2 linked regions of the Coturnix japonica genome follow. The protein of the gene in region 1 interacts with the protein of each later gene in a pairwise test. Links are inferred from orthologs where the notes say so. Each region holds a gene or a part of one and is shown in the gene's direction. Other genes may lie near its edges.

Region 1 (4,106 bases):
AGGCTGCAGACTCTTCTTCTCATGAAATAGTTCATGTGTACACAAGGATTTTCCTTTCCATGAAGGCCCAGGCCCTCCCTTGCAGCACATGCTGAGATGGAACATTCTTACTGGAGGCAGTGGGCAGCAGTCTGCCCTCCAGTTTGTTTTGCTTTGCACCTGAGCTTGCTTCATTACTCACACAGTTTCCCAGAATCCGGGGGAGAACAAACGGTTAGAAATTTCAGTGGCGTAGGAGAAGACAAAAACCGAAGAGGGGGGAGGCAGAGGTGGGTGGGGAAGGTTCAATCAAACCGAAAACAATATTGACTCTATTTTGAGAGCTGTGAGCAAACTCGGGATCCATCGCCATATGCTCAAGCTACAGGTGGCAAGCACAGCAAAGGGAGGCGAAGAGAAACGGCTGCATTGTTTAGGGAGCACAACCCCAGACACAAAGAGCTGCCCAGGGGCTTTCCCCCACCACAGATATTCACTTTGAAGTTGTAGGTTTTTCATGTTCCCCCAGCATCCCCAGCTCTGGGAATTGATGCACCACACCACTCCCTTCTGCGCCTCAACTCTGTCTGTCGCTTTCGTCATTGCAAAAACAGTCACAGATGCTACTGTTCACCCCCACAAATTCACATTTGAAGGCCCACAGACACAATTAACCACCTCTTAGTACTCATCCAATCCCTGTACAATATGTCCCTGCCATCAAACACATAGTCCCTTCACTAAGGTGTACTCGCCTGCTGACTTTATTCAACCCCTCAAGACTTGAATAACTCAATGTTTCACCATAGTATTTTGCTGCAACTGTTAGTTACATCTCACTTCAAGCTGTAAATGTGTTGCATGGCAATGTTTTGCACAGGTATCCTGCTAACACACCGTGTTCTCATCTATGAGAGCGTCCCACTTTTGGCTGGGATTATTTTCTTCCCAGCAGCTTGTGCTTTGGATTTAGGATGAGAATAGCGTTGATAACACATGTATGTTTTAGTTGTAGCGCTGCAGAGAGCCAAGGACACTTCAGCTTCCCACACTGCTCTGCCAGCAAAGGGCTGGAGCTCCACGCTGCCTCTACTGGCTGTTGGGCTGAGGTGTTCAAGACCAGGTTGGACGGGGCCCTGTGCAACCTGATCTAGTAAATGTGTATGTTTGGTGGCCCTGCCAGGCAGGGGGGTTGGAACTACATGATCCTTGAGGTCCCTTCCAACCCGGGTCATTCTGTGATACTGTGTGATTCTGTGAACCTCCCCCTTCTTGGGACCGCCGGAAGCCGCCATTATGGGCGGGACCGGAGCCGTAGCCGGGGCGGCGGGATGGTGCCGGTGCTGCCGGGGCTTTACGTGGGCGGCGCGGAGTCGTGCTCGTCCTCGAAGGCGCTGGAGGCGGCCGGGGTGATGGCGGTGCTGACGGTGGACGCGGAGGAGCCGCCTCCGGTGCCGGGGTTGCAGTCCTTGTACATCCGGGCGCTGGACGAGCCCGGCGCCGACCTGCTGAGCCGCCTGGATGAGTGCGCTGCCTTCATCGGCGCGGCGCGGGCGGGCGGCGGGGCCGTCCTCGTGCGGTGGTGAGGGTCGGGGTTGGTGGTGCGGTGTGGTGTGTTGGGGCCGGCCGCCCCGAGCTGCTCTAAGCCATCGCTTCGTCTCCGCCTTTCGCCCGCAGCCAGGCCGGAGTGAGCCGCAGCGTGGCCGTGGTGACCGCGTACCTGATGAAGACCCAGGGGCTCGGCTGGGAGGAGGCCTACGCCGCCGTCAGGGCCGCTAAACCCGACGCTGAGTGAGTGCCCCTAACCCGGCACCCCCAGCCGGACGGGCCCGGTCTCAGCTTGCTCTCCTCTCCCGTACCGCAGGGTGAACCCGGGCTTCCAGAGGCAGCTGAAGCTATACGAGGCCATGGGCTGTGTCGTGGACAGCAGCAGTGCCCTGTACAAGCAGCATCGCCTGCAGGTGCTCACGGAGAGGTTCTCCGGTGAGTGGGGCAGCTTGGGGATGCCTTGTCCAAAAGCCACACCGTGTTACTGAGCCCTGAGCTTGGGATGAGGCAGGATGCCCAGGGAGGTGGTGGGTGCCCCGTCCTTAGAGATGTTCGAGGTCAGAATGGAGCTGGTATGAGCAATGTGATGGAGCTGCAGATGTCCCTGTACACTGCAGGGGGTAGGGACTGGATGTCCTTCAAAGGCCCCTTCCAGCTCAGACGATTCTGTGAGTCCTACTGCTTGCTCCTGAGCAGGGTACTAAGTGCTCACATGCAGATGTGCCCATGGCAGCCATGCGGTCTGCTTCATGCTGCATTGGACAGCACCAGGCGCCCACTTTCTGATGTGCAGCTGCTTTAAATTCTGACAGTTCCCAGTCTTAAGTTATATGCCGTGATCCATGACCTCTGAGCCCTGCTGCTGTGGCTTGTAGCTGTATTCAACTGGCTGTGGATCAGATAGACCCCTTGTGTCTGGTGTGCTGCATGAGGACAGCATGGGACATCAGTGCCTTTATCAGTCTGACTTACAACTCTGTCCCCTCTGCAGATCTTCAAGACTTACCCCAAGAAGTCTTTGCTGTTGATCCAACCAACACACACCAGACTCCAAACACAGAAGTTCTCTATAGATGCAGGAAATGCAGGTACTGAACCTTTTGTATTTCCCACAAAATGTCACTTTGAAATGATCTTGAGAGGAAAATAACCTGTGTCAATCAGAGGCCGTGTCGTTATTTCTGGAACAGGGATAAGATCTTGTGTAAGTTTCCCTACAACGCATGTCACAGCAATTAAACAAGCACAAATACATGATGAAATACAAAACTCAAAGTTGTGCAGCACTCGTGCACCCTAACTTGCCACATTACGCAGGCGGGTGTAGTTTTGCTTGAATACATGATACTGCTTGCTCTGCAGTCATATATTGTAGCATACAGTGGTAAAGCAGAGCCCAGGGCTATGCAGATTGTAAGATTTGTTAAGATGCAGCCCTAAATGGAGTCAGTGCCTGCCTATGGAAAGATAAGGTCCTTGTCCCTGTGCTCTCTAAGCTTCACCAATAAGTGTTTCACCCTTTTTCCCCCTCTTGTCACGGAGAACAGGCGCGCTTTGTTCCGTAGCTCCAGCATTTTGTCCCACATGGAAGGAAGTGGACCAACAGCCTTTGCTCACAAGAGAATAACGGAGTCTATGCATCTTCGTGGCAGTGGCCCTGCTAAGTGCACCTCTTACTTCATTGAGCCTGTGCAGTGGATGGAGCCAGCACTGCTAGGAGTAACAGAAGGACAGGTGAATGCATTTTTTGGATATCTTAGCTGAGGTAAAACAAACTGTTGCTGTTCCTTGATGCGAAGGCCCCCACGCAACATCCTAGGTCTCCCAGCCTCTCCTGCATCAGCTTTGCAGCTTATGAACAGGTTCTCAAATGTTAGAATATCCCTGTATAAGGAAGTGAGCTGGTGATCTTGTTGGATTGAGTATGCTAGGAAGGATATTTGACAGGTTTTGGTTGTTTTTAGTATATTGGATTATGAGACATATAAAAATCCATTTTGGTCTTATGCTGACCAAGGCTTTCTGATGTCTGAGACTGGCAAGTGTTCTGGAACCACACCAGGTCTGAGCAGCTGCATTTCCATGTCTTCCCTTCTGCTAGCACAGCTGCCTGTCACACACTGGGGCATTGGCAAGCTCCAGCTGTGCCTATACAGCTGTTGTTTTTTGGTGTTTTTCTTTGTCCTGTTTTTCAGACTGTTTAACTTCTGTGAAATGCTACAAGTGCTGGCTTTAGTGCAGGTTGCTGTAGCTTAATGTACCATAGAATACATCTGCATGTATCTTACAATGGATTATTTGTTTTTCTTGCAGCTTCTGTGTCCCAAATGCACATCTAAGCTGGGTTCCTTTAGCTGGTGGGGTGAGCAGTGTTCTTGTGGCCACTGGGTGACCCCTGCCTTCCAGATACACAAAAGTCGAGTAGATGAAGCGAGAACTCTGTCAGTTGGTAACTTCCCCGCTGCCAAAACCTGAACTCAGAGCCTCTTTCAATGGATCTCTGAATGACCACAGACAAATTCCAGCTACCCTGGGTTTGCCAGGACAGAGCTTGAGACTTCCATCCCTTTGTAAGCAGA
Region 2 (4,328 bases), on another chromosome or scaffold:
TGTGATAAGGAAACACACACTCTAATTAATATCCACTGCTGAAAACTTCCTTCAAACAGGAAGGAAAAGCTAGGTACCAAGGAGACAATAATCTACCATTGTAGTCTGTTTTCTATAATGCAAGAGAGTATATTCTAACTTTCCTGCATGGGTTCTGCTTTTGGCAGTACGGATACCATCTGAAAAGGTAACTCTTAACTTGATGTCAGATTATGCACCATCAAATTGTAGAAATCCCTCTTTACGCTACTAATCATAACTGCTCAGTTATTCATGGTGTCAAGCAGCACCAGTTCCAGGGGCTCGTTTCCCTTCTGCTGTTCAATAAAGTGGTGTTGGCAGCAATATGCTTTAACACTTGCAATTTATTAACCTCAGAGGTGTAGTAGCATGTCAGTAAAGCCACAGAAAGGAGGCATTTAGTAAGTTATGCACGCTGCATATTTTTACAGCTAAGGAGTTCCTGCTGTGCTTTTCTTGCCTCCCACATCTTTATGATGATTTTTTCCCCTCGTGATAACTGCCAAACCTCATATCCTTGGGAGAGTTATTCCCTTGTTTCGCACTAACCCTCTTTCTCATGTTTAAAGAGGCGCTGCTGTGTGTTTCTCAAGGAAGCATTTAAAATAACCTGTTACATTTTTCAGTAGCTCCAAGTCCAAACCAGGCTTACAAAGTGTTTTACAGGACATCATCCTGCCTACAAGGATGTGCTATCGCATGGGCTGAAAGGAAACCTATAAGTAGGGCAGCAGTGATGATGCAGATGATGTAGGAGGGTCTTGTAGGAAGATGGTGAAGAATATCACAGAATCACAGAATTATCAAGTTTGGAAAAGAAGATCATCTAGTCCAACCATCACCAATACTTCCAGGCTAAATCATATTCCTCAGCTGTATATCTGCTGTAAGACACAGCCATAGGAACTGGGGCCTTGTGGCGCTGCCTGGCAGTCCTTAAAGCACTAAGAGCTGATGGAGGGTTGGTTGTGAAGGACACTTAGTAGGTGATGGGGCAGGGCTGATTTAGATGATCTTAGTGGCCTTTTCCAACCTTAATGATTGAGTTTTCAGAAGCTTTTTGCCCCTTGAATGTTTGGAACCATCCAAAATACGTAATTCTCATTGTATGGGAAGGCAGAAGACTGGAAAATAATAAAGGGGAAGGCCCCAAAAGCTCATAGCTTCGAGGTATACACAAGGCCAGGTAGGGTCCCAGCAGAGGGGCTGAGGGCAGGGTTGGCCCCTCAGCAGCAGGAGAGCGAAGCGGCCACCCCCCTCAGCCCCGACCCCCCGCCCTGACTGAGCCCCGCGCCCGCCGCTCCCCGCAGCGCCATCCCGCGCAGTCTCGCGAGACCCGGCCGCTGTAGACGCGATGTCCTTTGGGGCACTGGGGGGGTGGGGGGGGGAGGGAAGCGAGACGAGGGGTGGATTGATCGATAGCGGCTTTGACCAATAAAAGAGAGGAACGGAGGGCCCTGAGCCAATAGATTCATCCCAGGGCGAGCGGCGAGCCAATGGAAAGACTGGGGAGGCGGGGCGTGCCGCTGGCTGATTGATCCCAGCTTTGGCGTTGTTCAGTCAGAGCGAGAACATTCTAGAGGTGAGTACGGGGCGGCCATTGCTGGGGTCCCATCAACCGCCCCCTTCTGCCCGAGCTGCGCGCCCGCCGCCGCAGCTCCCTCCCCCCCCTTCCCTCTTCTCCCCCTTCCTCCTCCTCCTCCTCCCTTTCCTCTCAGGATCCGGCGCTGACGATGCCCCTGGTTGTGTCTCCTCCTCAGATTGTCCGGCATTGCTGTCCCTGCTCATAAAGCCCGTCACAGGACGCCCGGACACGGAGGCTGCGGCGTCCGCCTCCGCCTCCTCCCCCCGGCCGGATTATAAGCGCCGCACGGCCTCGTTCTCATCGCACACTCGGCTTCATCGCAGCCCAGGGCGAGCAGCGTTGGGTTTATGTCTTTATTGGACGAAAACGGTGAGTGTGGGGGTGGAGGTGGAGCGGGTGGTTGGGCCTTGGGAAGGGGCGAGCGGGCTGGGCTGGGCTGGGGCGGCCGTTGGTGGACGGGCGGCTGTGAGGAGCCGTACCAGGGACCCGCCAGGAAGGAGAAGGAGATAAGAGTTGACACATTAACCTCTTACCATCGTTGGTTTGATGTTCCCGGTGGCTGTTTAGCGTTATTTTTTATTTTTCACTCGATATTTCCCCCCCCCCCCTGCGCCATGCGACGAGACAAGATGGCGGCGGCCGGGCCGCGCCTCCCCGCGCTGTGGGCGGTTGTGGGGGTTGGAGCTGTGGCGCAGATACAGGCTGAGGGGGGAGGGGGACAATGATCCACAGCGGGGGGGAATGGGGGGAAATGGGGGGAGAAGAGCAACAGGAGCATCCCCCCCCCCCCCACTTTAGAGCTGGGGAACGCATGCGCAGTTGGAGGTTCCCCCCGGTCTATTCCGGGGCTGAGTCAGTGCTTAATTGCTGCATTTATGACTCATCACGGGCCCGATTGGGGCGGGGAGTGTTGCTGAGCGCTCTGCCCTCCCTCTTCTTTTTTTTTTTCCCCCACTCTGTGTGCGGCATATTGGGGGGGGGGAGGGTTGCTTGCTTGGGAGGAGGAGTCCCAGGGAGCAGGGGAGGGAGCTGCAGCCCGCAGATAGAAGCCGTGAGCTGGAAGGAGGGGAAGCGACACGTTAGCTCTGCGAGCTCACAGAGGTACTGCTTCCTCATACTGCTTCCTCAGCGCTTCTCAGGCACATGGTCGGGTCACATGGGGGCTCTTTTTTAGCCACTCTGAGGAAGGACGGCTTGTGCTGAAGAAGGGTAAAGCTGTGTTGGGACTAATACATAATACATAGTGTACACATAATCTGTTTGCTCCTCGTGGAAGGATTTGTAAACCTGAACAGAGCACAGAATGGCACTCTTACACAGGAACATGGAGGAGTCTGTTTTAATGTGTCAACACTCGTGTGTCATTAACGATAACACGGTGACGTGTCAAAGTGAGCACGCTGCAGGCTGGGCTGCCAGCCTAGTCAACCAGTTGTGGCTTACGTAACCTTAGATCTGATTACAGGGGCGCATGTTTATTTAAATATGTAAATACTGCTTAAGGCAACTTTAATAACAGGATTCATCCTCCTTCCCCCGAGAAAAAAAATGAACTGGAGAAGCTGTTGCACTGCTCTGTACCTCTCTGCGCTGCTAGGCTTTCTATAGTGAAGCAGTTTATGTCAGGATTTATCAGGCTTATTATTAAGTCAAAACTCCACAGAAGCTGCTATGAGAACCTGTAAGTGAGAGGGAGTATCACCTAATTTTCCTCTCCGAGCCAGAAAACTGGTAAGCCACGTAATAGTACTATTGGACTGTGGATTGCTGCTGCTTCAACTTAGGGATATTTCTCAGCTTTCTGACAATCCGCAGTTTATTTAATAGGTTCATGTGATGATGCAGAAATTGAGTCTGGTGTTCTTCTCCCACTTCCCTTTCCACTTTAGCGTGGACCGTACCACATGACCTTAGTGTAAGAGCCCTTGGACTTCATTAATCGGCCAGTGTTCCTTTTCTTACTGATCACAGCTGTCTTGCGAGTTAATTGTACAGAAAATACTGTTCATTTACCCATTGTTTTTTAGGGAGTAAGGTAGAAGAGAACTTAAAGTTCTGTAGTGTAGGTGAGGAAAAGCTATTCAGCAGTGCAGTTCAGGGCTATTGTCTTCAGCTTCACAGGCTGAAGAATGGTATATAATAATGAACTTAGTTTCCCTACCCATAAATATAGTTCCTTGTATAGCTGCATTGCAAGATTTTATTGGTGTATGTTACAATGAACTTATTGCTTTTCTGTCTGTTGATGTTTGCAGAGCTGTTGCGCAGCCACTGGTACCTGTATTGGGGAAACATAGCATACAAGCAAGAACCTTACAGCCTCAGTGGCGAAAATTTTTTCATGTCAGAGACCGAGAACTCTTGCAGTCGTTTATGTCATCCCGTCTTCTCCAGACAGAAGATACCAAAAAACTGCAATCAAAGATCTCTTCATCTTATTGATAAAGCTACTAATAAGGCAAAATGTCTGTCAACGTCAACCGCAGTGTTTCAGATCAGTTCTATCGCTACAAAATGCCCCGTCTGATTGCCAAGGTAACTTAATAGCTATTAGTGATAAGTAGATAGGGTTTCACATTGGTTGCTTTCTATATAAAGGAATGGAGGTAATGATATCAACCCCAGCCAATCATAGGGAGCAGATGTCTGCATCTTTCTGTCTGAACTAATTGTACATTAATGCCTCTGAAGTAGAACATTCAAAACAGAACTTAAGTGTAGT

The links.
Region 2: the proteins of DUSP12 (region 1) and EIF5 interact in binary tests that used the Homo sapiens proteins (3 or more experiments, as listed by UniProt). The two-hybrid records come from large-scale screens. The link is inferred for Coturnix japonica from reciprocal best matches to the Homo sapiens genes DUSP12 and EIF5.

The regions. Positions count from the first base shown.
Region 1 is NC_029516.1:70,998,996-71,003,101, forward strand, and holds the start of DUSP12 (dual specificity protein phosphatase 12), read left to right. Parts: upstream 1-1,254; 5' UTR 1,255-1,310; coding exon 1,311-1,561; intron 1,562-1,656; coding exon 1,657-1,770; intron 1,771-1,843; coding exon 1,844-1,962; intron 1,963-2,518; coding exon 2,519-2,615; intron 2,616-3,074; coding exon 3,075-3,261; intron 3,262-3,840; coding exon 3,841-4,002; 3' UTR 4,003-4,106. UniProt on the Homo sapiens protein: Dual specificity phosphatase; can dephosphorylate both phosphotyrosine and phosphoserine or phosphothreonine residues. Can dephosphorylate glucokinase (in vitro).
Region 2 is NC_029520.1:45,677,787-45,682,114, forward strand, and holds the start of EIF5 (eukaryotic translation initiation factor 5), read left to right. Parts: upstream 1-1,476; 5' UTR 1,477-1,603; intron 1,604-1,781; 5' UTR 1,782-1,975; intron 1,976-3,861; 5' UTR 3,862-4,069; coding exon 4,070-4,141; intron 4,142-4,328.